4 linked regions of the Coturnix japonica genome follow. The protein of the gene in region 1 purifies or fractionates together with the protein of each later gene. This does not show direct contact. Links are inferred from orthologs where the notes say so. Each region holds a gene or a part of one and is shown on either strand. Other genes may lie near its edges. The genes, in order: IMP3, UTP3, UTP25 and MPHOSPH10.

Region 1 (6,971 bases):
CGCCTCTCTTCGGCGTTAAAGGAGATATTTCCAGCCTTGGGCACTTTCACGACTTTCCCGTTCCCCTCCAAAGAACCGCCCACAACGTTCCGTGTGTTCTGTTGTTATTGTGATGCGATTTGGGAGCCCTCACTTTGTGTATGTGCGAGTCAGCGCTGCGGAGCGGCCAACACCGCATGGGCACATCTGCGCCATCCGTGGGGCCCCGAGCAGCTCCCAGCGCCCACAGCCGGCACTGAATTGCGGGGCTCACCCCTAACGGGCTGCTGGCCCCTTCCCGGCTGCTCGTAAAGCCGGATTTCGCCCCACGAGACGCAGCTCCCACGGGGCACGTTTCCTTTCCAAGCTCGGGGAAAAGCCTCTCCCACAAACACCGTCCCAGCTGGGAAGTGAGGCGGGGTTTGGTCCCTCCCCTCCGGCAGGGCCCGGTGTTCATTCCGTCCGTCCGTCCGTCCGGCTCACGGCTCCCTGCGGAGGGCCGGGACAGCACAGCAGGTACGGGCAGCGCTGCCCGTGGGCAACGAGAGCCGAGGGGCGGCGGTGCTGCGAGGGGCGGGGAGGAGCTCAGAGCCGTACCGAGCTCACAGCGTTATTAGCACACCCGATAAGATGAGGGGGGGTGGGAGGGGGTTTGCAGCTTGGGGGGGGGGGACGCGGCAGCGCTGGTCGGCTCCGCCGGGTGGGAGGAAAGGGAAAGTGCGCCGTCATCGGACATGGCTCCGGGTGTCCCGGCAGGACGCAGGACGGGACGGGGCGCTGACGCGCGGCTCGGGCTGTCCCTGCTCGCCCTGCACGGCTCCGTCCCACCCGCGAGATCCCAGCCCCCGTCCCGGCTCCTTTAGAGCTGATGGGCAGCGACAGCCCCCTCAGGACGTGTTACCTGGGCAGTGCTCAGCCCCATGAGCTATAGCTGGGCATGTGCTGAGCTCTGGACTCTGCTGAAGGATCTGCCACCAGGGCCTGATGGACTTTACACCTCCTGCTCTTCTGAGCAGAAACTGGGGTAGAGTATCACAGCATCACACAATGGCTGGGTTGGAAGGGACCTCAAGGGTCACAAAACTCCAATCTCCCCACTGCATGCAGGGCCACTGAGCTCCACATTGATACCAGCCCAGGCTGGATCATCTCCCTGCCAAGCTGCGCTGAAACACCGGGCTTTGGAGGCTGCCCCCACGTGCAGAGTTTGTGTTGACTGGAACAGCAGCTGAGCGCAGCACATTTGTATTCCAGTGACAGCCTCAGCCTTGTGGTCCAACACAAAGGCCTCAGTGTGAAGGACCCCCCTCCAGCCCCCCCGCTGTCCCCAGGCCAGCTCCTCCCCTCAGCTGCCTCCAAACAGAGCACAGAACAGAGTCGGGGAAAAAAAGCCTTTAAAAAGAGACTCACTGGTGCACAAGTGAAGGGTGTGATGGTTTCTTTCAGGGCGGAAGGAGGTGGTGTGCAGCCACAGGTTTCCATCCTGCCTCGTGGGGAGCAGCCCTGTGCTACAGCAACCCTGAGCAGAGCAGGGGGAGCTGCCTGCACCCTGTGGGACCTTCTGCCCTTCCTGAGAAGTGATGGCATCGCTGTGGGTGAGAGCTCGGAAGCTGTTCATGAAGAGTCGTTCTTCAGGTAAGGAACGTCTTTTCTGCATCTATTCATGTTATCACAGCACGGCCTGCATCACAAAGGCCCACAGTGCTCACCCAGCTCCAACCCCCTGCTGTGTGCAGGGTCACCAACCAGCAGCCCAGGCTGCCCAGAGCCACATCCAGCCTGGCCTTGAATGCCTGCAGGGATGGGGCATCCACAGCCTCCTTGGGCAACCTGTTCCAGTGCGTCACCACCCTCTGGGGGAAAAACTTCCTCCTCAGATCCAACCTGAACCTCCCCTGTCTCCGTTTCAAACCATTCCCCCTTGTCCTATCACTGCCCACCCTCACAAACAGCCATTCCCCTCCTGTTTATTCGCTCCCTTCAAGTACTGGATGCCCACACTGAGGTCTCCCTGCAGCCTTCCCTTCTCCAAGCTGGAACTGTGACCAAACACAACCTGAGCATGGTGCTCACGGTGCTGTGGCACAGAACAGTTCAGTGAGATAAGTGCTGCTCACACCAACAGCCCCGGGAAGCGTCAGGGAAAGGCAATAAGAGACACCACGGGGAGTTCTTCAAAATGGGACATTTTATTTCTGCCTTTTTGGGCTGAGGACTAACACCCCCAGCATGGAGCTGCAGCCTGCCCTGCCCCGCTCTGAGCTGTCACAGGAACGCCAAGTCCGCTTCTGTCTGTTGTCTGTGTGAGGCCCAGACACCCACAGTCCCATTATGCACCACTGGGTCCCTCGCTGACTGCACAGCCCTCCCTGCTGGCACGTTGCTCTGGGCTGGAGAAGCCTTCCTGCCTTCCTGGGGTGGCAGCAGCACTGGGCACATGGTACAGCCCTGCAGTGGCTGCTTGGCCTCATGCAAAGCTCCTTCAGTGCCATCCTTAGCAAGGGAGCAGCTGCAGCTGGTGGGTGAGCCCGGCACCTCGGTGTGCTTAGTCTGGCAGCATCGCAGTGAGGTCTCATGCAGTGTGTGTGTGTTGTGGGCAGAGCAGCTCAGTTCATTTCAGTGCTGTGTGTGCTGTGTGCAGGCCGGGCTGGCAGCTCTGTGTTCTCCCCGTGTATCTCAGCCCGGCTGTGCCGTCCCTACGCCTCCAGGTCGAAGTCGTCCCGCTCCTGGTTGTAGTCCAGCACCTTGACGCGCAGTTTGGAGGCGTCGGCCCAAGTGACGAAGTCCTCCATGGCGCGGGGCACGAGCACGGCGGGGTCGGTGACCAGGTCCGGCCCGACGCGGACGTGTCCCTGCTCCACGAAGGTGACGGCGTGTCGCATGTTCTGCGCCATGCGCAGCTTCAGCAGCACGCAGGGCAGGCGGCGCCGGCAGAACGAGGCGGCGCACACGCGCTCGCACACGGCCAGGGAGCGGCGCGAGCCCACGATCCCCATGGCGTACAGCTTGTGCAGCAGCAGCGCGGAGCTGCGGGAGCGGAACGCGGCGCTGGCCGGGCCCAGGTCCCGCAGACGCCGCGCCAGGGCCCGAATGTCCCGGGCCAGCGCCCGGTACCGCGTATAGTCCTCGCGCCGCCCCACGCGGAACCGCCGCAGCGCCCGCAGCTCCGCCACGTGTCCCGGAGCCGCCTCCCAGCTCACCAGCTCCAGCCGCCGCAGCAGCTTCTGCTCGTGGTACTTGAGCTTCCGCACCATGTTGAGCTGCCGCCCGGATCCACGCGGCGCCTTCCGGGGAGGAGCGACGGGGCACGGCCGGCACCGCCCCCACGGAGCGAGCGACGGGCGGAGCCGGGCCGGGCCGAGCCGGGGTGTTTACACGGCGTTCTGTCCCCAGGTCTGTCGGCGAAGGCAGCCCCGGAGATGGGCAGCGGCGGCGCGGACAGGGGCTACCGGATCCCCGCCGGGAAGGGCCCGCACAACGTGGGCTGCACGGACCTGATGACCGGCAACGCGGCCGAGGTACGGCACCGGGATGAGCCCGATGGACGGCGTGATTGTGTGCAGGGCTGATGTACGCGACCCCAGCTGAGCCTGCATCACATCCCGTCCCGTCCCGTCCCGTCCCGTCTCACCCCATCCCATCCCACCCCATCCCATCCCGGCGGGGCACAGCTCAGGGTCCAGCAGCCCCCAGCCGTGTGTCCCACGGGCCGTCCAGCTGTTGGCCCCATCCCGGCTCCCTCTGCCCGCTGTGCTCGGGACGGTCCCGCTGGGGGCTGGGGGCTGGTGGTGAGGATAAGCTGCTTCAGCTGCAGGACGGAGTGTGAGAGGTGAGATGGTGTCTGCCCAGAGAACAGGGTGTCGGTAGTGCAGGGAGACACCACGATAAGGCAGGAACGGCAGTACCATCTGCTGGGCTTAACTACGAGTTTCTGTTTCATATCCTCTTGCTTTTTCATCTTGCACTGCAGTTTTGCTCTCCAGGCCCGTGAGGTATCACCCAGTCACAGAGATAAGCCGTGGGTTTTGCTCTGCTCCACCTGGCTTCTCTTACAGCACCACAACGGGGCTGGTTTCTCTCTGCAGTCAGCCTTCCCTTAGAGCATTGAGCACAGTTACAATTCCTAGTGATGGCAATGGACCTTTCCCTGTGTTGTTCAGCAGTTGCTCATCAGGGGAAATTCACTGCGACTACCCTGGGGTTGAGTTAATATAATTACCCGTCTGGCTGAAGCTTTGCTGCTTCCTTCACTGCCCTTGTGTCACACGTTGGTGTAAGTTTAGGAAGTTCTTTGCTCTGAGAGTGGTGAGGTGCTGGAACAGCTGCCCAGAGGCTGTGGATGCCCCGTCCATCCCTGGAGCTGTTCAAGGCCAGGTTGGATGGGGCCCTGGGCAGCCTGGGCTGGTATCAATGTGGAGGTTGGTGGCCCTGCCTGTGGTGGGGGGTTGGAGCTTCGTGATCCTTGAGGTCCCTTCCAACCCAACCATGCTGTGATGAAGGTACAGGTGGAGCAGGTGTAAGTCTGACCTTTCATTGCCATACATCAATAAATTACAATCTTCCCTTTGTTTTTTTGCTAATTCCAGGGCAGCTTTTTGCGCCTGTATTATCCATCATGTGACGACACAGAGATTGAAGAGACGCCGTGGATTCCGGACAAAGAGTACTACCAGGGGCTGTGTGACTTCCTCAACATGTACCGGGCTGTGGGGGAAAGGCTTTTCCAATACTATGTTGGTAAGAGCGGGTTTGGTCCCCCAGGTGTGTGCAGAATCAGACTGATGCTCAGATGGCCACTCTGAAACCTGCAGCCTTCGGGTTACTGAGCTATCTCCTACAGAGCGGGTCTGTAGGTCTCTCATCTCAGTAATAATGACACGTGCTTCTGTTTTCATGTAGGTTCAGTGACCTGTCCTGCAAAATCTAACGCTGCTTTTAAGCCAGGAGAAAAATACCCACTGCTCGTTTTCTCCCATGGACTGGGAGCTTTCAGGTAACTGCAGCTCGTGGGCAAACTCTCTTTGTTGTCCACAGTAATGTCAGCATCCAGGAATGGTGCTGAGTGGGTCTCAGGGTGGGGCGAGATCCCTGTGGGGCTGAACATGATGCAAAGAATGGGGTGCTGTATATCACTATGCTTCCATTGAAATCAAGGCCTGTAAATGAGGCAGGGTTGGCTTCTTAGTTTGTTTCCCTGTTAAGTTCTGAAGTCAAAGAGCAGTGAGGTGCTGGAGCAGCTGCCCAGGGAGTCTATGGATGCCCCGTCCATCCCTGGAGGTGTTCAGGGCCAGGTTGGATGGGGCCCTGGGCAGCCTGGGCTGGTATTAAATGGGGAGGTTGGTGGCCCTGCCTGTGGTGGGGGGTTGGAGCTTCATGATCCTTGAGGATCCAGGATCCAACCCAGGCCATTCTGTGATTGTATATTAGAGGTGTAGGTATTTACTGAGCCATAAGGATGTTGTGAAGATGAGCTGCAACTAAAAGCAAAAAAGCACCAAAAATCACCCTTTGGGGACTGGGATACACAGCCTGCCCTGCTGGCTGAAACAGGCACAATAGAGTGGGGCACAGTGAGTGTTTAAGGAGCCGTGTAACCAAACATTGTGTACCTGTGGTCACCAGAGTGTCTTTGGATTGCAGGACCATCTACTCCGCTATCTGCATAGAGATGGCTTCTCAAGGCTTTCTAGTGGCAGCTGTGGAGCACAGGTGTGTGTACTGCATGTTACTGAGCTGTGCTGGGAAGGAACTTTCTCATAACAGAATGCTTCTTGTTGTGTAGGAGAACTCGCTTTTATAAGAGCAACTAACATCTCAGCTTCAGCTTCCCGCTCATCCAGCTCTGTTCCCACCTGGCTGTACAAAGGGACATTAATTTGGAGGCTTTAAGTGGAATTGTTATGGGTGGTTATCGTTTGTCACTCTTTATCATGCTCTTTTTTGCTGTTAGGACCCACAGGACATAACGGTGATGGGATTTTTGGTGGGGTTACTCTGTTGTTTGCAAGGTCTTGTCTGCACTCAGTGGGGCTGGGAGCTCTGATCTCTTGAGACAGGTCAAAACTAAGGCTTTGTTGGACTTTTTCCCAAGCCAAATGGAATACAACGTCAAAATAACCTTGTGCTGCTATTTCAGAGATGAATCGGCTTCAGCAACGTATTTCTGTAAGAAGAAGGGTGATTCTGAGCCAGAGGAGGAGGCTGCGTCAGGTGTGGAGAAGGAGTGGATCTACTACAGGAAGCTCAGGGCAGGGGAGGAGGAGCGCTGTCTGCGGCACCAGCAGGTACAGCTCTTGTTTATTGCTGGATAGCGAGATGAATCATGTCTGCTTTAAGGGGGTTGTTTGCTTTGTCACCTTCAACACACTTAACGTGGTTTATAGCAATGTAAACAATGCAACTTCCTGATGATAAGCAGCATCCCTGCTGGATGCCATGCAGCCATAGCGATAAGCTCTTCCAAGCACTGAGCCGACCTTTAAAAGGTGGGAGTGTTTTCTTCCACGCATTGTAGACTCAACCAGAGAACTGTTTATCTCACTGGGCCAAATGGGCAGCGGTACAAGCCTGCTTTCCTGTGTGCTTAACAACATCCTCCTAAATGAAGCTAAATATATCACGTTGGAGCTCGTACATCAGCTGCAGGAGCTGTTGCCTGTGTATTTCACTAATCAGGAGGTCAGGAGATTGAGATTTACTTGTAACTCTGATGCACAGACACATTGCTGCCTGGCTGCACTCAGTTCTCAAAGATTCTGCTGCTCTTTGGTTTGTCCTGAAGTTTCTCTTGTACCAAAATCCCAGAACCCCAAACCACTTCTCATACTGAGCACCGAAAGCCTGTATTTGCAACAGCTTTAATATGTTTTTCAACAGTGTGTATGCACTGAAAATGGGAAGGGCTTCTAGGCTGCTTCCTGTTCTGGGTATATCCAGCATAAAGGCAGCTTCACAGCTATTGAGATGTGGCAAAGTGATGCAATGGTGTCTGC
Region 2 (7,494 bases), on another chromosome or scaffold:
ACAGAACTGTTCATAAAGCCCGACATCTGCATTCTGAGCTTTTTCCCTTGGCACAAGCATCTAGCAAGGTGGATGCATGATGCAAAGAGCTTTTGTGTTACATCAGCAGTACTGAAACTCAAGGCTTCCCTGGGGAGGGATGGGTGATTATGATGGGTGCAAGGAGGGCATTGCCTATGCTGTAATTAATATAAACCCTCCTCTTTTAGCAGGGCTCCATCTGCATGGCAGGAGAACTTGCTTTTACTTCATCTCCCTCACCCCAGAAAGTAATTCAAATAGAGCACTGTGGAGTTTCTTTATGAAGCAGGAAGATGTCCATCTTGTGCAAAAGGTTACAGGTAAACCTGGCTAACCAGGGTGAGGAGAGGCAGGGGGGAAATGTCTATCTCAAACACTGTTTTGGTCACTTTTTTTTTATTTATCTATTTATTAATCCAAGGAGAGATTTTTTGAACAAGAAGGGAGAATGGCGACAGTAGAATAAAGCACATTCAAAAGAGGCCTTTTCTGGTCTATTTTGCTTATCTGCACTGATAGAAATATGGCACTGATAAAATTTGAGCAGATGTATCCATAAGTATTTTAAAACTTGAATGGAGAGACCATGCAGAGTGATATTCTGTGTGATTCTGATTATTTCAGTGTTTCTCCCTGACTGCGGCTGTTCAGTGTATCTGAATTTCAGTTGCTAAATCTGCATGTCTACGTGCATGGTCCCATCAGTCTTTATTTGGTGGCATGAGAACTGTTTTTAGTCACACTCAGCCACCTGCATCTCGCTGAAGATTTCTGTCTAGCTTGTAAATTCTTTAGAAGACACATTAAATGACCCCAAAATGATCTGGGCAAGTAGGCATTAAAGAACTGTGCTAGCTGAGGAAAGGCCTGGCACACCATTACTCCAGGCTTGAATCCTGGGCTGCATGGGGAGCTAGACTCCTGCTCTGCATAGGAAGTTTCATGAATGTTACGTCTCATTTGCCAAAACCAAGTTATTGTCTCTACGCAGCCCTGTTAACCAGAGGAGGTGACACCTGACAATTGGCTCTGACAGATCTGAAATAATGTGTATTTGTCTGTGGCAAAATATATCTTTGGTTTGTAAGGAAGTATGGAAAATGTTGACTGAGATGTGACTATGTTGAAGAAGAGACTGAGGCTGCTCTGCAGTCAGATCTGCCAGAATCCAAATGAAGCACCAACAAATGAGTGATGTGCACACCTCCCCCTGCCCCTGCCCCCCCTTCTCTGTTTCAGTTAACCTTAATGCTTGCCTGACGTTACTTTTTCCACGAGAAGGTGGATGTGGGTATGTATAAATAACCCAGCACCTGTTGTGTGGCTAGAGAAAAGCACCTGTGCTTGTTTTGCACAGAACTTCTCTTCCTAGGATTGTGTGGCTGCCAAATTTACCGGACTCGGGGGTTTCTCAGACCATGCTGAGCTCTTTACTGTGCCTTCCTCTGCTCTTACAGCATCTGGCTGTCTGCATTTCTTTCAGTCTACTTGCATGTGGCTCAGCCTTCATGTGATTTCCCAGTGGCAAGATGGGAGGCTAGGCTGTGTGCTGTGTATCTGAGAACAGGAACAAGCAGCCATACAGGATGTGAACGTAAACATCAGGGAATATAGACAGCCTTAAAGACCTTTCTGATGAGGCCTGGACATGTTTGTCTATGGCATAAAAGGGTTGATCTAAAGGAGCACAAATGAAGCAATAGCCTGAAGCAGCACTGATCCCCAGCAATGGCTCCTGCCAGAAGATGCCCCTGCTCCAGGAGGGCAGCAGTGTAGAGAAGGAGGTGGAGTCAATACACATCCCCCAGATGGGTCCAGGGGGTTTTTTCACTTCTCCTCTCTGAAACTTCGATCTGGCTACAGGGAACTGAGTAAGCAGCGGTTTTGGTGAGCAAGCACACAGATGGCAGGTGGCTATTCTGCTTTTTTTGTCAATGTCACAATGTGAATATATGCAGTCAGTGCATTGGGATGTGGCTGTACTTTTAGAAGGGCTCTTTCCACATAGCGTGACTCATTGCTGGTGCATGCCAGGGTTGAGATAATCCCAGTGTGGTGGCTGCCACATCCCCCAGCACCAGCTGTGTTACTCCCCATGCGTTACCATGCCTGCCGTCAGTTCATACCCAAAACATGCTTGGCTGAAAAGAACCACATCTGGACTCGCAGCTGCACTCAGGTCTTCCAACCACAAAACCCCTTGTCCGGGAGCCTGCCCCTCCCAGTGCCTCCAGATGGGCAGCGCTGAGCACGGCCACCATCCCCACGGAACGCCGGGCGGCCGGAACCAGCGGGACTGCGCCTGGAGTTGGGGGGAAGAGTTAGACAACCGGACAGGAAGCGGGGTGAGCGGATGGAGCGCAACAGCGGCGCCGGAAGCGGGGTCTGTGTGCAGCCGCTTCCGCTTCCCGGCACAGCCATGAGGACGCGGCGCGGTACCGTGCTGAGGCCTAAGGAGGGACCCGCCGACCGACACGATGATGGAGAGGGATATGAAGAGGAAGTGCCCGGGCGAGACGTGGGACCCGAAGGCCTGGGGGACGAGGTGGAGGATTTTCACGAGGCGCGGTTTCGGGAGGTGATGGCGGCTCTGGAGAGCGGGGAGGAGGCCGGGGACAGCGAGGAGGAGGAGGAGGAAGAAGAAGTACTGGGACTGCAGCTGCCCGAGGAGGAGGAAGATGACGAGGAAGAGGAGGAGGAAGATGAAGGTGAAGGTGGTGAGGAAGCAGGGGGACTTGAGTCTTATGAGGACCGCAGTGCAGAGGAAGATGGGGGAGATGAGGAGGAGGAGGATGAAGATGAAGATGAAGATGAGGATGAGGAGGAGGACCTGTCCATGGAGAGTGATTTGGAAGAGCGTGGTAAGGACACTGATCTCCCCCATGAGCTGTCCTGGGGCCGACGCAAACAGCTGTACTATGACACAGACTATGGGAACGATGCCCAGGCTAAGGGCAAACGGAGCCAGCAAGATGTTGATGCTGAGGAGGAGGAGGAGGAGCAGGAGGCAAAAGTGATCCAGAAGAGGCTGGTGGAGGACTTGGGGGAAGATGATTATGGGCTGGATGTGATCCAAGGCTACGTGGCGGAGCAACAGAAAACCCATGATAGCAAGGGGCAGAAGATTGCTAAGGATTTGCAGACCCTTTCCAAGAAGGAGCAGCTGAAGCTGTTGAAGCAGGAGTCTCCTGAGCTCCTGCACCTGATTGAAGACTTTGAAGTCAAACTGATGGAGCTCAAGGATGAGCTGCACCCACTGCTGCAAATGGTCAAAAATGGCACCATCCCACAGGGGAAAGGCAGTCGCTATTTGCAGACCAAGTATCAGCTATACTTGAATTACTGTGCCAATATCAGTTTCTATTTAGTTCTGAAGTCAAAAAGGATACCGGTTCATAGTCACCCCATCATTGAACGATTGGTTGCTTACAGAAATATCATCAATGACCTAGCAGTGATAGATCAAAAGTTATCCTCACAGGTTCGCCTGCTTCTGAAAAACTATTACGATAAGAAGGAGGAAAAGCTCCGAGAGCGGAAGAAGTTTCCAGTGCTTCTCCAACCAGATGCTAGGAAAACCAAACGAAAAGGTGAATCTGCTTTTGCTAATGGCCAACTTGCTGCTGAGGAACCGGCAGATGAATCTGACCTGGATGGAGAGGCTGCGCTAAAATACTATAAGATGATGGAAGAGAAGCTGAAACTCAAGAGGAAGAGAACAGAAGAACAGGAAACATTTGAAGAACCAGTGACAGAAGAGGATCCAAACCAAAAGAGAGGTGTGACTTACCAGATGATCAAGAACAAAGGCCTCACCCCGAGGAGGAAGAAGATTGATCGCAACCCCAGGGTCAAGCATCGGGAGAAGTTTAGGAGAGCCAAGATTCGCCGGAAGGGCCAGGTCCGGGAAGTTCGGAGGGAGATACACAGATATGGTGGGGAGCTCTCTGGCATTCGCGCTGGTGTTAAGAAGAGCAGAAAGCTTCAATGAAACTTATTTTTCTCTGTTTCAGAGAGCTGCAAATAAAAGTTCTGAATGCAATAAATTGTTCTGTAAAAGATACTGTGTTGGTTTTGTTTGTTTGTTTGTTTTATCCTTAAGTGGGAGTTCTCCTTTGAGAGTTTTTTGTGTTCTTGTTTGTTTCTTTTTTTAGGAGGGTGCTTTTCAGAAGGTGCCATCTCTCAAAGTAGTACAGGGCCCCTCCCTCACTTTGCTTGTTAATTTGTTTTCCTCTACTGTTATGTCCTATGTTATGAATATGGCTTTGAGAGGCTGCAAGGCTTGTGTCAAGCGAGGGGATGGATGTGGACCAGACAGGGCTTGAGGGCAGCAGGAGAGAGATGGAAAGTCCTTTGGAGGGTGGGGTGAGAAAGGAATTCACTGTTCACTGCCACTACATCCTTACTGTGTTCTCCTGGCCCGTAGGGCTGAGGTATAGTTAAATGGTTATGGTATTTCCTCTTGATTTATGCTATGATTAACTTGTTTTCATACAGTTAAGAATTAACTATTACACTCTCCTAAATATTCTTTCCTTAGTAACTAAGCAGAGGCTATTGCCTTAAATTGCATATGACCTGTGAAACCACTTCCCCTTCTTGATAATTCAGTGAGAAGCAAAATGAGGACTCTGCTGGACTGCATAATTAATTATTCATCTACCATAACTACATTAGCTTAATCTGTGATAAATGTGCTAACTGTTGTTTGCTGTTACAGATCTAACACAGCATTGATAGAGGAGAAACAGGTAAGATGTCATGTTATTTTCACCTTATAGTTAGTATGATGTTACCAGAGAAACCAAAATACGAGTGTGTGAAGCCATGACAGGCTAGGTGTTCTATTTAAAGTATGCAAACAATGCTCAATTTCTGCATACAAAATGCACTTCTATAGGGCTTAATGCAAACCATTCTATCTTGGGCCTTTTCCTGCCCAGGATCGTGGATTTCTTGCTGACTGCAGAATGTTTTGTTATTTTTTTATAGCTGTTTGTTAGAGGTGAAAAAACATCAGACACCAGATGTGTGGAAATGGAGGTAAGGAGACCTTCTGTAGTCTTTATGTCCCAAATCTGTGTGGTAAGAGCTATGCATGGCAGTCTCAGAGGGGATTTCAGTCGGCAAATCTATGTAGCTCAAGACTGAAAGGACAAGTTCTGCAGGCCTCACTGGTCCTGTGTTTGTTTGCCCCCTGCTGCTCAAAGGCCAAACAGCAGTTCAATACTGCGTAATGGCCAAAAACAGAATTGCTCAATTCAGGCTCTTACTGCAGCTCATTGTGAATTGATTCCCCTCCCCATGAAGTAGCCCTGGAGGTCTTTGCCTGCCTGCAGAGTTGTGGTGTTTCGTACCACAGGAGGTAATGGGAACTAATGAGTGTGGATGGTAGTGGAGAAGTAAACCTTGGTATTTCTGGTCAGTGCTGAGACTTGTCTGTGCTGTTAGCAGGTCTGTGTGTAGGGAGGGGAAGGGTTGAAGGTATGTACAGGAGAAAGGATTCATTTCTCATGTCCTGAAGCCACAGCAGTGAGTGTTTTAAGGCTGAAATTGCCATCTGAAGCCCTGCAACTGACTTCTCCACAGAAGCTCAGCCCCTCAGGTTGGGGCACTTGCTGAATCTTTGTTCAAGGAGTGTCACCAATGCAAACATGAGGCTTTCTTGAAGAGGTCATACAAAATGCCTTTCTTGCTTGTGTGATGCTCTTGCTGCCCTTATAGCACCGAACTACATCATTCTATTGACTGCACTGGGCCGACAATGGAGGCCACCACTGGCAATGCTGAGGCTTTGGGATGAGGTCAGTGAAAGGTAATGTGGTAGGGAAAAAGCAGCTTTGTTGGTAATAGATGTTACAGGGGATGTGAGAAATACCCTGCAGAGATGCTAACCGATCTCATTACTGCAGCATCTGCTCGTGCACATTTCACACTCTGTATGAAAAAGAGAGGCTGATGCACTTCCATAAATTGGCAGATAAGCTGTGAGTATCCTCCATGGCTTTGGATTCCCTTGAAAAGCTTTAGGCAGCTGGGGAGCAAAATTCTGGCACCTTCCATGTGAGCAGTAAATAAGGGATATACACTGTGATATTCTTACAGGCTCACTGTTCCAGGAACGCTGGGGTTAAGGCTGAAGGCGAGAGCAGGCAGTGTGTGTCAGCTGCCCACTGCAGGCAGCCGGCAGATGGCACAGCGTGTCTCCCAGGACTGCTGCACCAACCCGCTTAAATGAAGATTAAACGTGGCATTTTGTTCAGTTGGTTGGCTCAGAGATCGGGCATAGCCATAAATACTCCTTTCCAGTAGGGCTGTGTGTATGAGTAATCACGACTGTGATTATTACCATGGGAGGGAGAACACCACAGTGTTGCTCTGATAAATGCTTCTTAGAGGTACGTTTTGTGATGTGAAATCCCTGATGGTGGGTAGGTTTTCAAGACCCCTGTAAAAACAGATGCATGTGAAACACGGGAAGGACCGTAGGCAATAGTCAGGAAAAGAAAGTGGAGCGGGTTGGTGGTTAAAATACCATCTTTTTGTTCTCTCATTCAGAGTGAGCCTTTGGAAGTTGGAACTGAACAACTACATAGCAGCAGAGAGATGGACAGCGCTTTCTGCATCGCAGCGCGGATGTTGTGTTCACACAGGGTAAGGAAAACGTGTTTAACGACTCAAAAGGCAATACATTTGCTGCTGCCTTCACTTTTATAGCTGTCTAACGTTGCGTGCCATCAGCAACAGTTAAGACATGATTTTACCCCGGCTCACAGCGGTGATTACACATCTCAGAACCAAAGGTCAGCATTCCGCAGCGCCTTCAAGCCCCCGTGAAGGCAGCGGTCGCACAGTGTACGACATGTGGCAGTGCTGTAAGGCAGCCCTCCTTCCCAAGCACGGCCTCCCCCCGCTCGGTGTCTGTCCGTCGCTCTCACGCCGCACTCCGTGTCCGCCGGCTCCCCGCCCCTCACACGCGTTATGCGGGCGGGGCCGCGCCTCCTCCCTCGCCCGGCGTGTCTCGCGGCCGCGGTCGGCTGGGGAAGCCCTTGTCGGGGCCGGTCCGACGCTCCTTCCTGCACGGGCCGGGGCGGCGATGGCGGAGGCGGAGCGGGCGGCTCTCCTGCCGCCGCGGGCGGAAAGTTCCCGGGACGGGGTTGGAGCCGAGCCGCCTCCCGGCATGGAGCGGCGAGCCGAGCCCGGCCCGGAGGAGGCGGCGGTGACAGAGGAGGCGGACGAGGAGCGCCCCGCCTCGCCGCCCTTCTTCCTCCTCTACCCCGGCCATGGAGGCGCGGCCGCGCCGCACAACGCGTGGAGACCCCCGGCGCCCCGCGGCGGGACCGCGCTGCCCGTGCTGCTGCTGAGCTACCCGGGGACCGACGGCGCCTCAGCCCGTGAGTAGCGGCGGGAGCTGCCGGAGGGGCCTTTGTGAGGCTGGGGCGGGGTGCCGGGGCTCCCGCTGTAGCCGCTGTA
Region 3 (8,116 bases), about 80 Mb from region 1:
CCTGGGACCCTTCACTGTCCAGCTCTGCCTCACTCTCCTCAGCTTCTTCTGATTCACTTTCATCTTCCTCCTCCTCACTCTCAGACTCAGGAGATGCCTTCAGGGTAGCCAGAAGCTTGTGATAGACAGAGACTTGTTCCACCTCAGTCTCTGAATCGCTTTCCGCACTTGATTTATCAGAATTGTCAGACTAAATGTGAAAACAATTAACAGCAGCAGTCCATTAGACAGCAAGCAAACACCCTCAGCTCCAGCTCCCATACTACATTTCCTTCTTGTCATTCCAGCCCTTTGCAGATGCAATGAGATTTTCCCCTAATGTCCATTCTATGTGAAGAGTTATCTTGAACATTTCCACACAGATTCTGAAAGGACCATGGCAGACCCATGTCCTGGTGTTTTTTCTGCACTGATTTGACTCAGAGCATCACAAGATTAGTTTCTTTCAGCCTTGGAGAACACATTTGTTCTCGTGGACAAACAGGCCTAAGAACAATGTGCCAGGTTACAGCCAACATCACAGCAAAAACAGGACTACAATCACAGCACCATTCCTTCTTAGCTCCTTTCAGCACAAAGCGAAAACTCAGTAAATGCAATATAAATGCAAAAAATAAAAATAAAAAAGTGCTTAACAGATAAGAGTCATTCATTACTTTTTCCACACTACAACTGTGAAGTCTTTAACTGGTCTGATGACAAAGGAGGTTCACAAGTCCTAACTGAAAGAAAACTGAAGCACTGTAATTTGAAGAACAGAAACGAGCATCAACATTTCTTCATTCAGCAGAGAACAAAGCATCTCATTCTCTAACTCAAGCACCACTGTGTATTAATAAAATAACTTACAGCATGTTTCACTTTTTGCCAGGGCTAAGTAGCATTAAAAGACAAACAAGAATAGCAATATTGTATCCCGTTTCTTCTGTTGTCTCTTGTTGTTGCAGTTACGAGTTTGACACTATACAGAACAATTTGGAATCACAAAAAAAATCATTCATTTTTTCCTTCTAAAAGCAGGTTTTCTAAAAGGAACAACAAGAAAGGCACAGCATTCCACTTCGCTGAACCATACAACAAGTAAAGTGAGGAAGAAATAAAAATATATTACCAGTTCACATATTTGAGTTGCTTCTGGTCTTCCAGAAACCCTGAGAAAAAAAAAAAACACAAAAATATCTTGCTGTCAATGATATTTTGCACAGAATAAACACAGATAAGAAAAGGAAGAAATTGTTGAGCCTCAGAGCAGTTGAAAGAGAACTGAGAGGCAGAGCATCACACAGCTCTCCTTAAGGAAAGAGTCAGGGCTCACCCTGACAAAATCCTCTGAGCTGATGCTGCAGCCTGTGTGTGAAGCCCGGGTGCATGCGATCACAGAATCACAGAATGACCCGGGTTGGAAGGGACCTCAGGGTGACTTGCAGAATCAAACTCTATAATCCAGAGATGGGTTATAAAGCAGGTATGTTTATTCCAGTGTTGCACAGCGCTGGGTGCAAGGGGGATAGCTCCTCCAAACTTGCACAGCGACTTGTAAAATAGTGACACAGATATAGGTACATTTAATACATAGTCAATGATTTCTCAGAATTCTAATACATAGTCAATAGTTCTCGGAATTCTGATACATATTCAATAGTTCTTTAGCATGCAGACCCCCTCTTGTTCTTATCAGGGGGAATGCAACTCCTCTTCTGGGCATCCATGAGGTCTCACTGCTTCTCTGCATCCTCTCTGCTCTCCTAGGCCCCTTGTTTCTTTTACTTGTTACCTTTAAGTTTCCTTTACTTATTTCTATGAACTACCTTTAAGTTTCCTTTACTTGTTTCTATAAACTACCTTTAACTATCCCCCTTTTAGCCCCCCTTTATTCCGAATTTTAGCGGAGCATCTGCTTCCTGCTTCACTGTTCAAAGGATCATGTAGTTCCAACCCCCCTGCCTGGCAGGGCCACCAAACATACACCTTTACTAGATCAGGTTGCCCAGGGCCCCGTCCAACCTGGCCTTGAACACCTCCAAGGACGGGGCATCCACAACCTCCCTGGGCAGCCTGTTCCAGGACCTAACCACTCTCCTAGCGAAGAACTTCCCCGTAACATCCAACCTAAATCTTCCCTCTTTTAACTTAAAACCATTTCCCCGGTCATGAAGGGCAACATTTTAAACTCCCTCCTCAATTCCTGGGGGCTGCTCTCTGGAGCACGGGCTCCTACCCGGGGCACTAAGCACTGACACACCGAGAGGGGTCAACAGACACACGTGCTGCGGGCAAAGCTCATCAATCCAGCAGCGCTCACCGGTCGCACACGGGGTGCTGCTCCCCGAACTGCCGCAGGTGCTTCCTCTGCCTCTTGCTCAGGCCCCGCACCAGCTCCCTGCCGCCACGCCGCTTCCCCATGCCGGCAGCGAGGCGCTTTACGGTACGGCCGTCAAGGGCGGCTGTCGTACTGTCGTACTGCCGTGTGGCGGCGTGCTGAGTGCGGCTGCTTGTGTGGGTTAACGTTTTCCTCAGCTCCTACCTAAGCCTGATCCTATTAAGGGCTGATAACTAAAACTCAGCCAACTGAAAAGCCACACTGACCGGCCGTTTAGTCAGAAACCGAAGGCCCAGAATAGAACAGCAAAGACAATAAAAGACAGCCCTTTAACCTTACTGAGCATCCAACTAGGAGGTGTAAGACTTAGCGCCCAGCACAAGCGCATTGTGATACTATATACAGCCGGGATTTGGCAGGTGGCTTATGTAAAACTAAGACATGTCAATTGGAAGGAATTTGAAGAAAATATCATACAGAATTGAAAGAAGCTGCTCCTCTGGGGCATCATTTAACCAGGTCAGCACATACTTTCTTCCTTACTGTTATATAACTGATATGATTTTAAGAAATGCTATTATTACTAAAAGGAGGAGCAGCTGGAAACTGTGGATAGCAAATAGTTTCAAGGGATAACCAGGCAGTATATCTCCTTCTAAGGGATTTGATTAAATACTTTTTTTTTTTGTTTTCTGGGGCATATTGCAGAACACGCTCAGGCAGCTTCCCCTCTGTCATGAATGGTATCAGTTCTACTGTCTTGAAACACCCACTAAAACAGCTTTGGGCCTCTCTACAACTAGAAAACACAGCTGATCTTCAAGCACAAACTTGGCTTCTCATCTTTCAGCTATTTCCCATTAAAACTGTGTACTTCTGTCTGATAATAACACTAAGCTTCTTTTCTTTAGTGAATGTGAGCTTAAGTACTGCCAGCAAGTATGGTCCAGGCTCTTTAGCTGTCTGGTCATAGGCATTATTTATGTGAATTACTTTAACAGTAGTTAAATTACAGTCAAAATAGGTTTCCACAGCTCTGTGCTACTGCCAGCCTAGTAAAGCCAAAGTGCTTAATGCAGTCTGAAGCCACTGACTGTTCTGCATCTAGCAGTGTCTCTTTTGATTCACAGCAAAGTAACCCTCAAGTTAGCTGAACACCCTTTTGCTATCTGTACTGTTTTTCTCCCTCTAAGCATAACCAGTGTTCAGCTAGACTAGCTTTACTGAATAACCAACCCACCACTTTAGAAAGAGTGGTGCCATGAAATAAAGTATTTAGTACACTGTTTGTCCTATGTACAATGATGCTCTCTAGTATCCATTTACTTTGCAATGTGGTCTTACAGCTACTTAATAAAATTAGACTTAAACCTGTAAAAAGCTGATACTTGTACTGGAATCAATGTGTTGTTCTTTTAGCAAACAGTTAATACTGGAAGTGACGCTATTGGAACTGTAAGAGCATAGAAGAGTCTCATCATGCCTCAGTGTTCCTTAAGATTGCATTCTCTGACTTGTTGCGTGTTAATATGCAAGCTGAATATGCAACTGGGATTTACTTATTTCAAAGCAGCGCTATCAAAAGAACATCTAACAGTTTGGCATCCCTTACCTTAAATATTACACTAACGCCAGCAGGATTTTCTAAGTATTTCAGAATTCAGACGCCACTCATTATCAAATGGAGATCTAGGTTATTTAGGAATATGCTTTATCTTTCTAATAACATTACAGATGATCACGATTTTTGATCAGAGTGTGCAGTCAAGCTTCTTCACTTCATACATGTTCCATCAGTCTACAAGTTCTGGAGCTACGATCAAGAATAACTCAGTAAAACAAGAATATACATGATTATTTTATAAAACAGGACATTTATTTATCAGTTTATCAGACTGTCTTAGTAATTGAGGTTGATAGGAGCAACTAGTTCCAGTACCAACACCCAAATACCTGGTGAATTCATGATTTCACTTCTGTTTCTTCTGCTTGAGGTAGTGTATCCCAAACTGGCTCCTGGATGTGTTCAGGTATTTTCTCTATCTTAGTCTAGTACAGAAGGAAGGAAACGATTTATTATATCAACTAGTCAACATCTAACTGCTTTGCTTTATTTTGGTTTCAGATATTTATTGGATTAATAGTGCCACCTAGTGACGTTTTTCAGTAATACATCCTCCTTTTAATAGTAACACAAAATGGTCTTTACAACTACATGTGTATACTGACTTTCTAACAAATTCAGTAATTATTAGTACTTGCATCTGGATTTAATCTCACAGCAGTTAAGAACATGAGATGGGAACTTACCTTTTTTACTTCCATGGCAACCCCTTCAGGTAAGTTTCGTTCAACATACTCTAAGTACACTGCAGCGGTACTGCCCGTGAGGTGTTTTAACTAAAACAGAAGTCATGTGTTTTATTAATGAAGGATAATACTTCAAACAGAATATAGAAAAGGAGGAGTTTGCTCTGACTTCTCTAGTTTTTGCAGTGGGTCCAAGCATCTTACACTAGGCCAGCTCCCATAGAATTCACCACAGGCAGGTAAGCAGTATGTATCTTATGCAAGTACAAAGCAGCAACTTCATGCAGAACTGTATATACTGTGTGTTCATACGTATTGATTATGATAGAAATGATGGACCTTAATACTGCAAGTATCAGATCAAACTGTGTGTTATGCAAGAACTCTCAGATTTGCTATACCCCTCAACATTCAAACTGGATAGCAATCCCCCAACTCCAGAATTTTACCACGTTCTTGATTCTAGTTTCTCTTGGAAAGCAGAAGTTGTATTTATGGTCTGTGGGCAGCCATCGGCACTGCTCTACTGTCTGAGCACTGAGGGCAGAGACACATTTCACTAAGCACAACTATACCATAATAGACCCTAGAGGCCACAAAATGCCAGCAGTAAACTTCTTCTAAGAAAATCAACCACAGCTGCATTCTAGACCATATATATGTCTGCGTCACCAGCCACAGAGCGAGTGGTTTGTACACACTTCCTTTCTGGTATTTCTCCCCTTCCAGTTTTAGTTTGTCACATGATGCTGCACAGGGCAAAAGCATTCAAAATATGAAGCAAACTCATGGAGAAGAGAATGCTCAGTGACTAGCAATGACTGTAACTTACCTGCAGCATCTTCCCTTCCTTGAGAAAGTTCTTATCCCACAGATTAGAAATTGAGAGCATAAAATATATAAAGGTAACTCTGATACCTACCTTATTTTTAAATCATTCTTCCATATACTTGTCAAAATCAGCCTTATAGGCAGAAATTAGATGGACTGTACATTCAGAACAATTTCTGCTACATTTGATGTACCTACATCAGCTCTCTCTTACTATATTCCCAGCACTACCTAAATCAATATTTCTTCCTTTTACATCTTTCTTACCTCCAAACAGGTGTAATGTGTTCTCATTTCATACTGAACTCTGTGCTTCTTGTAAATGTGTACAGATTTTAACAGTGTAAGTCGTTCTATCGTCTTTGGAGGTCTGTGTCTGAACAAAGTAGAAAGAGAAAATGTTGTAATATTGAATTTTACATAAATGATGTTAATATAAATTATCTGAGATTACAGTGAAATCTGCTCTTATCTGACATTTAGAAGATCCACAAGGCAGTATGAAGTACTGGTACAGTTTAGCATTAACACTACAGCAGCACCGATGACTGTAACAAGAATATTCCTGGTGTCTTTCACGCAGTTACAATGCAATCCTACTATGGCAGCACTGCAAGTAGCACTGCTTCTGCTTTCTCATCCCCACACCACCATCTGGGAAGTGTCAGATTTATATTTTGAGAAAGAATGTCAGATTAAACTCATTTCTTCTACAAAAGGAAAATACTTGTAAGCGCGGAACTAGAGTTACAGCAGATGATGTAAGAAGCATCACATCGTGCTACAGATTGGTTACTTACACTTTTTCAACAGTTATGCCAAGTTCTTTAGCTGCCAGCACTGCAAAATACTCATAGCTGTCCAACACAGCTTTATCGTGGCCTTTAACTAAAAGGGACAGCCTCCGGTAGAGTATTTCTGGTTCATCTGAAATAGACACCTGTATTTTTTAAGAAAAGGCAAGTGTTACCACCCCATGTTCTCCTTTATTAACCCAGTCACTACGTATCTTCTTAGCCCATGTGCCCCATTTGTAAAAGAGGAAAAAAAATACACATGCACATCTCTCACTGCTCATTTGATATTTACCTGCAAGAGGATAACTGTATTAATCTCAATCAACAGTCCTTCATCTTACTGTCCCTGCTAAGTGTAAAGGGAAACCTGACTTCTGAATATTCAGGCAAAATTTCTCAATCAAGAATGCAAAGGGAACGCCAACTAAAAGGGCAACACTTGCAAAGGCAAGAAAAATAACTTCTTTTTAAAGCAAGTCTGGAGCAGCAATATGAGCATTTTAAATAGAAGTGTGAAAATACATGAAATTCTCAAGTTTTTCTTGGTTATCATTATGGTCAGGTACAAGAATTCTCACCTTCCTAAAGTAAAGCTATGTAAACACACCAGTCTTCTCCACACATATTATCCTTCCTATTTGCCCAGGTTAGAAGTCTATGAATCTCAAGTTACAATTTTATGACTGTTAGTTTGACCATTCATTTCTAATGGCCTGGGCCCACTGTTCATCTGAAAAACCCTGGTTTACTCCCGTGCAGTTCAGAGCAGTAACTCCAGCACACAGCAGACATATCAAAAAGGTTGAGTTTGTGTGGTGGTTGAACCTGGCAGGCAGCTCAGCACCACAAGTTGTTCACTCACTGCCCCCTCCCAGTGGGGAGGGAACTGAGGGGGAAAAAAAACAAACCAACAAAGTAGAACTTGTGGGTTGAGACAAAAACTATTTACTGCAACAGAAAAGAAAGAGGACAAAAACAATAGTAATGTAATACATAAATAAATAATATAAAGAAATATGTATCTGTGTATTCCTCTCTCACTCTATACGCATACACAAAGCAAGGGATGCACAGCACATCTGCTCACTACACACTGATCGATGCCCAGCCAGTCCCCAAGCAGCACCAGCCCCTCAGTCAATTCCTCCCACTTCCAAAGCATTTAGAAGCAGATGCCCTATGACACGGAATATCCCTTTGGATAGTTCAGGTCAGCTGCTCCTGCTCCTTCCCTGTACCCCTCAGTCCTCTCGCTGGCAGAGCAGTAGGAGAAGCTGAGATGCTGAAGCATCCATGGCTCTGTACAGTGCTGCTCAGCAGTAACTAAAACATAGATGTGTTATCAACATGGTTATTCTCCCAAAGCCAAAACAGAGACACAACAAAGGAGGAAAGAGACAAAGAGGTGACTGTGAGCTACAAGAATCCTGCTGAAAATACAGTCTCAAACAGCACTAATCTAAACTGTTTCTTACTCTAAGACCAATTTGACATTATCAAGACTTAAAAAAAAAAAATAAGCCAACGACCTGAAATAGAGGGATTTACTTCTTATCTCTTTTCTCTTTATAATTACAGTGGTATACACAATACCTTGTTCTATGAAACACTTACCAGAGGATTAGTCTTAGGCTCCTCTGTATGAACATGGGATCCAGAGAATCGTCCTCCCATCAAGTCAAAGTTTCTAGGTTTATGGTAAAGGAGAGAGCATAAAATAAACGTTAAAGTTGCACTTTCTGAGGGAGAGTGGGAGAAAAGCGGAAGGGAGGAGGGTCTTTTAAACTTACCGAAGGAAACATTGCTTTTGCATAACTCTGCTTGCATAGCTGGCAGGAAAAGATGATCCCTGTATAAA
Region 4 (8,110 bases), on another chromosome or scaffold:
TGCTGCAGTAGGTGAAGACAGTAAGTACTGCAATAAAAAGGAAAGAAATGTAACGTACTCAAGTGACAGTGCATTTACCTATGAGCATCAGGAATAAATGCTTCGTTCTGTATTTGTTTTTACCAATGGTATAAGATCTTTCTTCTGGAAAATGGTACCATTAAGAGATGAGACTCAAGTTTTGAGAAAGTTTAGACTTGAAAGCAAGCCCTCTCCTCACAGATGGCATAATAAAGTTTACATGTTGTGTGTTTAGCTTCTGCAGGCAGGACAATCCTAAAGCACTGAATGTTTCAAGACATGCATGGTGCTTTCTGGTGTTGCTTTTCACACAGTCTTCAAAGGTAAATAGGTCATCAGGAAAAAAAACAACAAATCCATCAATGCATAATCCTAATGTTTGGTTGCTCTCCCCAGTAGATAAAAAGCATTTTCAAATATCCAAAGTACTTACAATGAACACCGTAATCAGCAATTGCATGTGTCGTGAAGCATCTAAAAATTCATGGATTTGGGCTCTACTTGCAAGTCTTCCTCTTAACTTGTGAAATCCATACAGCAGCACTGGTGCTTTATTTTCTCCAGCTCTAAGAACTACTGCTGTGTCTCTTGCATTAAGGTTCCAAGGCTTTAACTGCCTGACAGGAGTGGCAAAAAAAACCCAAATACTTAGAGAGTGCATTCTTCCTTTTATCTACACCAACATTAAAATATGAATTTATCAAGTAAATATCTCCTCCGCATGAGGCATATAGTAACGTATTCGTTTATCAGCAAAGGTAATGATAGTTGGCCAGCGTATCATACTGATACTACATTCTGTCTTAGCTGAGATACATGGGTAAGTCTAGTTCGTCCTAAAAAAAGTTCTGTGTCGTGTAACATCTAATTCTTGTATCAGTTAAAGATAGGCACAAACATACAACTATTTGCAGGACGATATGAAAATTCAGGTTGGAAAGAACACTGGAGGTGTCTTGTCCAACATTCTGTTCAAACCGTGGTCTTCAGAAGGCCCAGATCTGGTTGTTCAGGGTATTATCCAGTCTGGTCTTAAAAATCCCCATCGATAAAGACCACACAGCCTCTCTGGGCAACCTGCTCCCATGCATCACTGCCCTCGTAGCTGAAAAAATTCCCTAAATATCCGGCTTGAACATCTCTTGTTTCAGCACATGCCTGTTGTGTCTCATTCTCTGCCACACACCACTGTGAGGAGGTTTGCTCTGCTTTCTTGATAACATCCTTGTAAGTACTGGAAGATTGTCCTCCAACTCTTCCTTTCTCGAAGCTGAGCAATCCCCACTCCCAAATTCTCCTTTCATAGGGCCTGGCCTCCAGCCCAAACCACTTGGGTGGCCTCTGCTTAACACACTCCAGTTCATAAACATCTTCCCTGTACTAAGTGTGCCAAAAACTAAGCACGATTTTACAGATACAGTATAATTAATGTAGAGTAGAAGGGGATAATTACTTCCCTTAGTCTACTGGCTGTGTTCCACACAGACCAAGATGCTGCTGGCCATCTTTGCTGCTAAGGCACACATCTGGTTCATGTGCAGGTTCATGTCCACCACAGCCCCAGAACCCTCTCAGCAGTGCTACTCTCCAGCCTCTATTGTTGCAGTGGCTAAAAGCATGGGCTATTTTATTCAAGCATGGATTCAATAAGAAATGGATACAGAAGGTCATTAACTCTAGGCTTCCTCAAGTGAGGATGGGTTCAAGGTTTCAACCAACATTTAGTTCTGAACAAGAAGATCTTTATTTTTCTCTGTGATGTGGGAACCAGGAACAGATCCCTTCTTGCTGGATTTCTTCACCTTCAGCACAGGAACATAACATGGAAGAGGCTTAAGCAATGGTATTTTGGGAAATTAGCAAGCATTCTTGTCAGAACAGCTGGAGATGGTACAATTACACTTGAAGTAGTTCTTCATGTTTACAGCGTTAATCAAAGGTCACTTCTTATGGACCTAGCTCTTGTTAAAATTTATCTCCAGCCTCCAACTTAAGCTGGCATCAACCAAGTAACTCCACAAAAGATCACTCTTCAAGATGCCCACCCCCCCCTTAGAATCATAAGACTGACCAAAAAAGCTGAGCCACCACGACGTTTGCAGGAACTCTTTTTCTTTATGATTAGAGGATCAGGGCGAAGCAATAACACAGCTGATGATTAGGGGCAACGCTGCATCTTTAAAAATAGCCTTAGCTATTTCCAAGTGCAGATAAGACCGAAACTATCACAGAATTTAGGCTTTGGAAGCCTGACAGTCAAGGTTTACAAGGACAGCTCTGCAGCGTAAAACGTTATAAGCCTATAAAGGAAAAAGTACAGCAGCTTCCCCTTCTGTGGTTCAGTACCCATAGCACAACATACAGAAATAAAAGGTCCATCCACCTTGACTGTCCCACACAGAGAAGAATCTGGATTATATAGTGATCAATTTCCATCTCATGCTGTAAGAAAAGCTTCAATCATATGCTTTTCAATATACAGATAACCAGCACGTACTGTGTTTTTACTTTTAAGTGCTGATAAACAATTACACAAAAAATTCTCTTTAAGATTATCTTATGTAGAAATACTATTGCTTACACACAGCCACACAGAACTGTGATAGCAGTTGCTTCTGTTGTTCATTTCTGCTGCTAAAATGAGGGAGCACTGGGCAATAGGCAGAATAGATAGAATACCTTCTCTGCAAACAGATTTCCCAGCCCCCCTCCATGGAGATTATACAGTGGCCTTGACAAGGTAATACAACTGAGACATTTCCATTTCTTACCCAAATGAGCCACAGTCATTTCTGACTTTTCTTAACCCTCAACGTAATGCATATCATCTTTGAATTGCAACCAGATTTCTGTCGCCTTTATTTACACTCCTTATACGCCCTCAGTGCCATGCAGCAGCCGCCAGGATGACACTGAGGATGCTAAGTACAGAGCCCTGTAAGCGCAGGCTGCCGAGGCAAGGAGCCAGCCCTCACCTCTCGAGATGCAGCCAGAAACGCAGCATTCCCCTCCTCTCCCCCACCCCCATCCCTTTTGTTACGGCAATACAAGAATTGGATTCAAAAACTGCTCCAAAAGGGGAAGGCAGATCACCATGTAATGCCTGCTGCTGTTTATCCCAGGAAAAATTGGGAGCCCCTCATGGAGCAGCTTTTTCCCCTCCAGATCTGATGACGAAGGGAGCGGGGGAAAAAAAAGAAAAAAAGGATAAAAAAAAAAAAAGCTAATGACAATGTTTGATCCGTTTGCTGCATGGGAGGCATGAAATCAGAAACAAACTCCTAGCGGTGCTGCATTGCATGAGGGCTTCTCCTGCGTTTCGTCTGACCATTAACGGACCCTCGAGCCTCCAGCCCTGCAACAAAACCCTGACACTGTGCGTGTAGCCGCGCCGCCCGTCTGCACCGAGCGCCCGCATCAGCGCACGGAGCCGAGCGGAGCCGGGCGGGCCGGGCACAGCGCTGGGGGCGGCCGTCCCGCGGGGAGCACAGCGGCACAGCGGCCGCCCGGTGCAGCGCCCCGACCATCCCCGCGGGCTCCGGGCGGCCGAGGGGCGGCGGGAGGAGAGCGGCCCCGCGCAGCCCCGCACGGCCGAGCCCCGCGCCGCCATGCCGCAGGGCTGCCCCCAAAGCCGGAGGGTCCCCCCTCGGGCACAGCGGTTACCGGCGGCGGGGGACGGGCCGGGGGCGGCCCCGCTGCCGCTCTCGAGGTGCGCGGCGCCCGCTCGGGCCGAGGTTCGCCCGCTCAGCTCCGTGAGGCGCCGCGGGGCTCCCGCTCCCCCGAGGAGCCGCGGGGATGCTGCCGCCCCACCCGCCAAGGAGCCCCGGCCCCGCCGTGTCGCCGCCCGCGGGGTCCGTGCCCTGCGGCCCCGCTTCTTACCCTGGCTGACAGCCGCGATGCCGGTCCCCACCCCGCGCCGCGGCGACCGACACGGGGGCAGCAACCGCTCTTTTGTGTGCAGCCTCGGCGCCACACACCGACACGGCTGGTGGGCCCGGGAAGCTGCGTGCGAGAATACAGCCGGCCGCCCGGGAACATGCATGGCACATAGCGCCACCGCCGCGGCGCCAAAGGGAGACGGGGAGGAACCCGCCGCGAGCACCACTCGATCGAGACCCGCGATTCGAGCCCGACTCAGCACCCCGCAGAGCGGCCTGAAGGACGGGGTATGGCTACAGGGGGGATAGGGGTAGGAGTAGGGGTAGGGATAGGGATAGGGATAGGGATAGGGATAGGGATAGGGATAAGGATAAGGATAAGGATAAGGATAAGGATAAGGATAAGGATAAGGATAAGGATAAGGATAAGGATAGGGATAGGGATAGGGCGAGGGGAACGGTTTGAAAGTGAGACGGGAGGTTTAGGTTAGATATTAGAGGAAGTTTTTCACACAGAGGGAGGTGATGCACTGGAACAGGTTGCCCAAAGAGGCTGTGGATCCCCATCCCTGCAGGATTCGAGGCCAGGCTGGATGTGGCTCTGGGCAGCCTGGGCTGCTGGTTGGTGACCCTGCACATAGCAAGGGTTGGAGCTGGATGAGCACTGTGGGCCTTTTCAACCCAGGCCATTCTGTGATCCTGTAGTTTTCCAAGAATGACATTTCTTATGGTCAGTGACAAACCCAGTTGGCTTCTCGGTCGTTTTACCAGAAACAACGAGATCTTCCCACAGGGAGGTGATTGCAGTTACTGGGTAAATTAAGGAGAACATGTGAGATGGAGTGCTGCTAGGCCAGTTATGACAGGACTTGCTCATCAATATGCAGATCTCAGACTTGTAGTTATTGACTCTAAAAGGCAATCTTTGTAATGACAGCAAAAGTGAAAAGCCGCCTTAATGTCATTGTATTGCGTTCTGGTCAGTCTCGATGTTCACTCTGCATCCCGTCCAGCTTGGTACGCTTTGTTTGCCCTGCGGTAGCTGTACCAGTTGCTTAGCACCAACTCAAATTCCATCTATATGCAAAGGCCTTTCATGGAAACCCAGCTCATGGATTTTTTGTTTGTTTAGGTTCAATTTCTATTAGGATTCACACAACAGCTATTTGTTATTAAGCTGCTACATTTATCTTCTTTTCTTTTTGTCTGTGGTACCAGCCACTGATGCAGAAGTGAGGTTTTCCTTCTCATTTAATGCAAAATGTCTGGTCTCTCACAGTTACTTGTTACTTTAGAACTTTTTGTTTCCTTTAAATCATGACTTAAACTTATCTTTATTACTGGAAAAAATGCAATGTAAAAGTGAATTAAAAGGTTCATTTAACATCTTATGGAAGATTTTAGTACCTGTGTACTATTTTTATGGTAACAAAGCGTTAACAGTTAAAGATCACTTCAAATTACATCTAGAAATGTCACAAAATACTTCAAAATATATCTACTTTAAACGTTTGGAAGAACTCTTCCTAACTTGTGAATCTATGCTGTACATTGAGCAATTAACTGTGCTTTTAATAACGTGAGAGACAGTGCAAATGAACATGAAACACCAGAGATAGCATAACGTTATAAATACTAAAGGACTATACAGTTTTATGAGGCAAACATTCCTCCTTCACAATAAAGTAAATTTGCATTTCATAAAACATTCAAACTGCTTTAAAAACATTTATCAAAGGTGATAGAATTTGTGTTTCCAAGAAGGTGAGATCTTCCATTTTAAAGTGTTGGCCAATTCCTTTGTAAGTTCATAAGTAAATCCCTTGTAAGTTGTTAGTTTCCATTTCCATATTAATCTTACACGATTCAACATTCTGTGATTTAAACTATCAGTTTACTGACTACTTCTAGTGCAGCCCAGTACCAGTATGAGAAGTGCTAGGAATTTTCTTCTGCTTCACAGTCTAATAATTTCACAAATACAGTGATAAAACAATTAACTCTTACCTTTTTCTCTTAACTATAGGTTCTGGAGCCCAACAAACCCAAGTCCGTATCACTAGTGGAAGAATTTCTAATAAGGAGAGAATCAGCTGAGCCCTTCCTGTTAGTATCTCACCATTCCCACATTCTGCTGTTTTCCGGTAAGACCTTCTTGGTCACATCAATTTCCATTAATCTGCCACAGCAAGACAGTCCAAATCCAAGGACTGTCCTTAGCAACATGCAGCAATACTTTGGCATGTGCATTAAGAAAGATATCCCATTCAGGAAGTGGTGAGAAGAAGTTTCTCTTGTCATTCATTCACAGCTTTCCAAATGGTCAGTCTCACAACCGTTTTAAATGCTGCAACTGTGGCTTCAAAACAGAAGTTATTCCAAAACTTACGATAAACTGGGTAAAGATGGTAATAATGATCACAAATCCAAACTGATGCACTATTTTTTCTTAAATCCAGGTGGATTAATTGCAGACTGAACATGATAAAACCAGAGGTTTTTCTATCCTAGAATAAAATGAACTTATTTTAGATCAAGGTGGAACAATTCACAGTATGTGCAGGAAAATAAAAAATGCAGGTTGTGGTTTAGCTGGTAAAAATATTATTTCTAAGGACTGGGAAAAATAATGAGAGAAACAGAAAGTATTCAGCTTTTACAGTTGATATCAAAATGAACTTAGAAAAGTATCAGGACAAACACTGCTTGCTTAACACACACAAATAACATGAGGCCTGGCCATGAATAAGTCAACAAACTGTGACTGCAGTCTATGAGAAACTAAGTACACTGGCATGCTCTCTGATGTGAGGAGACTGTACACAACCAAGATTCATGTTTCTTATGCTTTCCAGTGATTCTGTAAGCACTTCTGCATTAGAAAACAGTATTTGTAAAGCAAGTGATTTCCCACTATTTGTTCAGGTGTCTCTCAGAGATCTTCCTAGGGATAAAATCTGAAAACAAGTATTCTCTGGCTGACACAAACAAAAATGCAGGATGCATCTTAAAGTCTGAAATATATCTCTATCATGTCATTTTTCAGACACTTTCTTCCCGTTGTCTGCATATGCAGAGTCCGTATAACAACATGATGATTTACGCTTGTAACTTCCTCACTCATTAACTGTTATGCCAAGGAAAATGTATTTAATGATTTCAGATAGCCATACAATAAAATATAGATTTATTTATTGCACGAATCAGTCAATCAGCATGAAGCACAGACAGTGAATGGCGAAAACAGAAAGTACAATGTTCCCTTTCCCTTTATTTCTAAAGGGGGTATCTAAGCTTTTACTGTTGTCACTGAGAATTGGGTCTCTGCTTTAAAATGTAGAACAAAATAATGTGGAATGACCTAGAAACCGTACAGTTTCTGTGGTTACAGAAGTAAAGCCATGCAGCAAGAACATGAGGCAACAGAACAAAATTACTGTTATAAATGCAGCTTGGCTTAGGTGTACATCTTGAGAATCATAGTGAATTCAAGAAATGTCAACACATTGATTCTGAAAATCAAATGCGGGAAAAAGAAATCTGCAGCACTGTCTCATTGCTCAAAAGCCGTACTTAATCCACAGGAACTACAGTGAATTTGTAAAGAGTGAATAGCACATCAATATTCTCAGCACCAGCTCAGTAACTTCACAACTCATTTATTGTCTAATTTATGAATATTGCAGCTCAGGCTTGCTCAAGTTCCACAAGGACTCCGTGGCAATCTTTAGGGTGAAGAAAAATCACAGGTTTGCCATGTGCACCTATTTTTGGCTCTTCGCTCAATATTCGAATCTTTTTTTTCTTCAGTTCTGCCATGGCTGCTTTTATGTCATCAACCTTATAAAAGAAAAATACTGTTTACAGAAGTTCATCAGAAAATATCCCCAGTCTATGACCTGTTCCTTTTTCTTTTTTTTAAATCAAAATTAATCAGAACAACAGCATTTACCATTACATTTCAGAAGTTTCCTGCAGTAAAATGTAATTAACAAAAACCTGTCTAAACTACATAATGTGATCTTAGGTTTGATGTCACGATATCAAATTGTTTGAATGTCCCCAAACCTTAAATGCATTCATCCTCCAGTGTAATACAATTAGCACTCAGTTTAGCAAATACAATAGTCAATAATCTATAATGAATTAAAAATAATTGCATTGTTTTTTTCCCAGCTGAGGTGTCTGGACATAACTCCATGAATAAACAT

The links.
Region 2: the proteins of IMP3 (region 1) and UTP3 purify together in Homo sapiens (affinity purification with mass spectrometry; 3 studies listed by BioGRID and IntAct, with this or other methods). This does not show direct contact. The link is inferred for Coturnix japonica from reciprocal best matches to the Homo sapiens genes IMP3 and UTP3.
Region 3: the proteins of IMP3 (region 1) and UTP25 purify together in Homo sapiens (affinity purification with mass spectrometry; 3 studies listed by BioGRID and IntAct, with this or other methods). This does not show direct contact. The link is inferred for Coturnix japonica from reciprocal best matches to the Homo sapiens genes IMP3 and UTP25.
Region 4: the proteins of IMP3 (region 1) and MPHOSPH10 purify together in Homo sapiens (affinity purification with mass spectrometry; 4 studies listed by BioGRID and IntAct, with this or other methods). This does not show direct contact. The link is inferred for Coturnix japonica from reciprocal best matches to the Homo sapiens genes IMP3 and MPHOSPH10.

The regions. Positions count from the first base shown.
Region 1 is NC_029518.1:100,138,551-100,145,521, reverse strand, and holds IMP3 (U3 small nucleolar ribonucleoprotein protein IMP3), read right to left. Parts: upstream 3,282-6,971; 5' UTR 3,234-3,281; coding exon 2,676-3,233; 3' UTR 2,149-2,675; downstream 1-2,148. Other genes in the region: PLA2G7 (platelet-activating factor acetylhydrolase), read left to right, coding at 1,560-1,614, 3,373-3,497, 4,566-4,716, 4,879-4,972, 5,620-5,688, 6,116-6,263. UniProt on the Homo sapiens protein: Component of the 60-80S U3 small nucleolar ribonucleoprotein (U3 snoRNP). Required for the early cleavages during pre-18S ribosomal RNA processing. Part of the small subunit (SSU) processome, first precursor of the small eukaryotic ribosomal subunit.
Region 2 is NC_029519.1:44,617,008-44,624,501, forward strand, and holds UTP3 (something about silencing protein 10), read left to right. Parts: upstream 1-2,340; 5' UTR 2,341-2,374; coding exon 2,375-4,012; 3' UTR 4,013-4,084; downstream 4,085-7,494. Other genes in the region: protein RUFY3, read left to right, coding at 7,118-7,415. UniProt on the Homo sapiens protein: Essential for gene silencing: has a role in the structure of silenced chromatin. Plays a role in the developing brain. Part of the small subunit (SSU) processome, first precursor of the small eukaryotic ribosomal subunit.
Region 3 is NC_029518.1:20,192,150-20,200,265, forward strand, and holds the start of UTP25 (digestive organ expansion factor homolog), read right to left. Parts: upstream 4,050-8,116; 5' UTR 2,404-4,049; coding exon 2,303-2,403; intron 1,152-2,302; coding exon 1,112-1,151; intron 191-1,111; coding exon 1-190. Other genes in the region: MRPS10 (28S ribosomal protein S10, mitochondrial), read right to left, coding at 4,283-4,369, 4,631-4,720, 5,729-5,837, 6,262-6,401, 7,873-7,945, 8,049-8,107. UniProt on the Homo sapiens protein: Component of the ribosomal small subunit processome for the biogenesis of ribosomes, functions in pre-ribosomal RNA (pre-rRNA) processing. Essential for embryonic development in part through the regulation of p53 pathway.
Region 4 is NC_029525.1:4,860,846-4,868,955, reverse strand, and holds the start of MPHOSPH10 (U3 small nucleolar ribonucleoprotein protein MPP10), read left to right. Parts: upstream 1-3,901; 5' UTR 3,902-3,917; coding exon 3,918-4,187; intron 4,188-5,925; coding exon 5,926-6,005; intron 6,006-7,069; exon of another isoform or gene 7,070-7,586; coding exon of another isoform or gene 7,587-7,739; intron 7,740-8,110. Other genes in the region: MCEE (methylmalonyl-CoA epimerase, mitochondrial), read right to left, coding at 7,587-7,739. UniProt on the Homo sapiens protein: Component of the 60-80S U3 small nucleolar ribonucleoprotein (U3 snoRNP). Required for the early cleavages during pre-18S ribosomal RNA processing. Part of the small subunit (SSU) processome, first precursor of the small eukaryotic ribosomal subunit.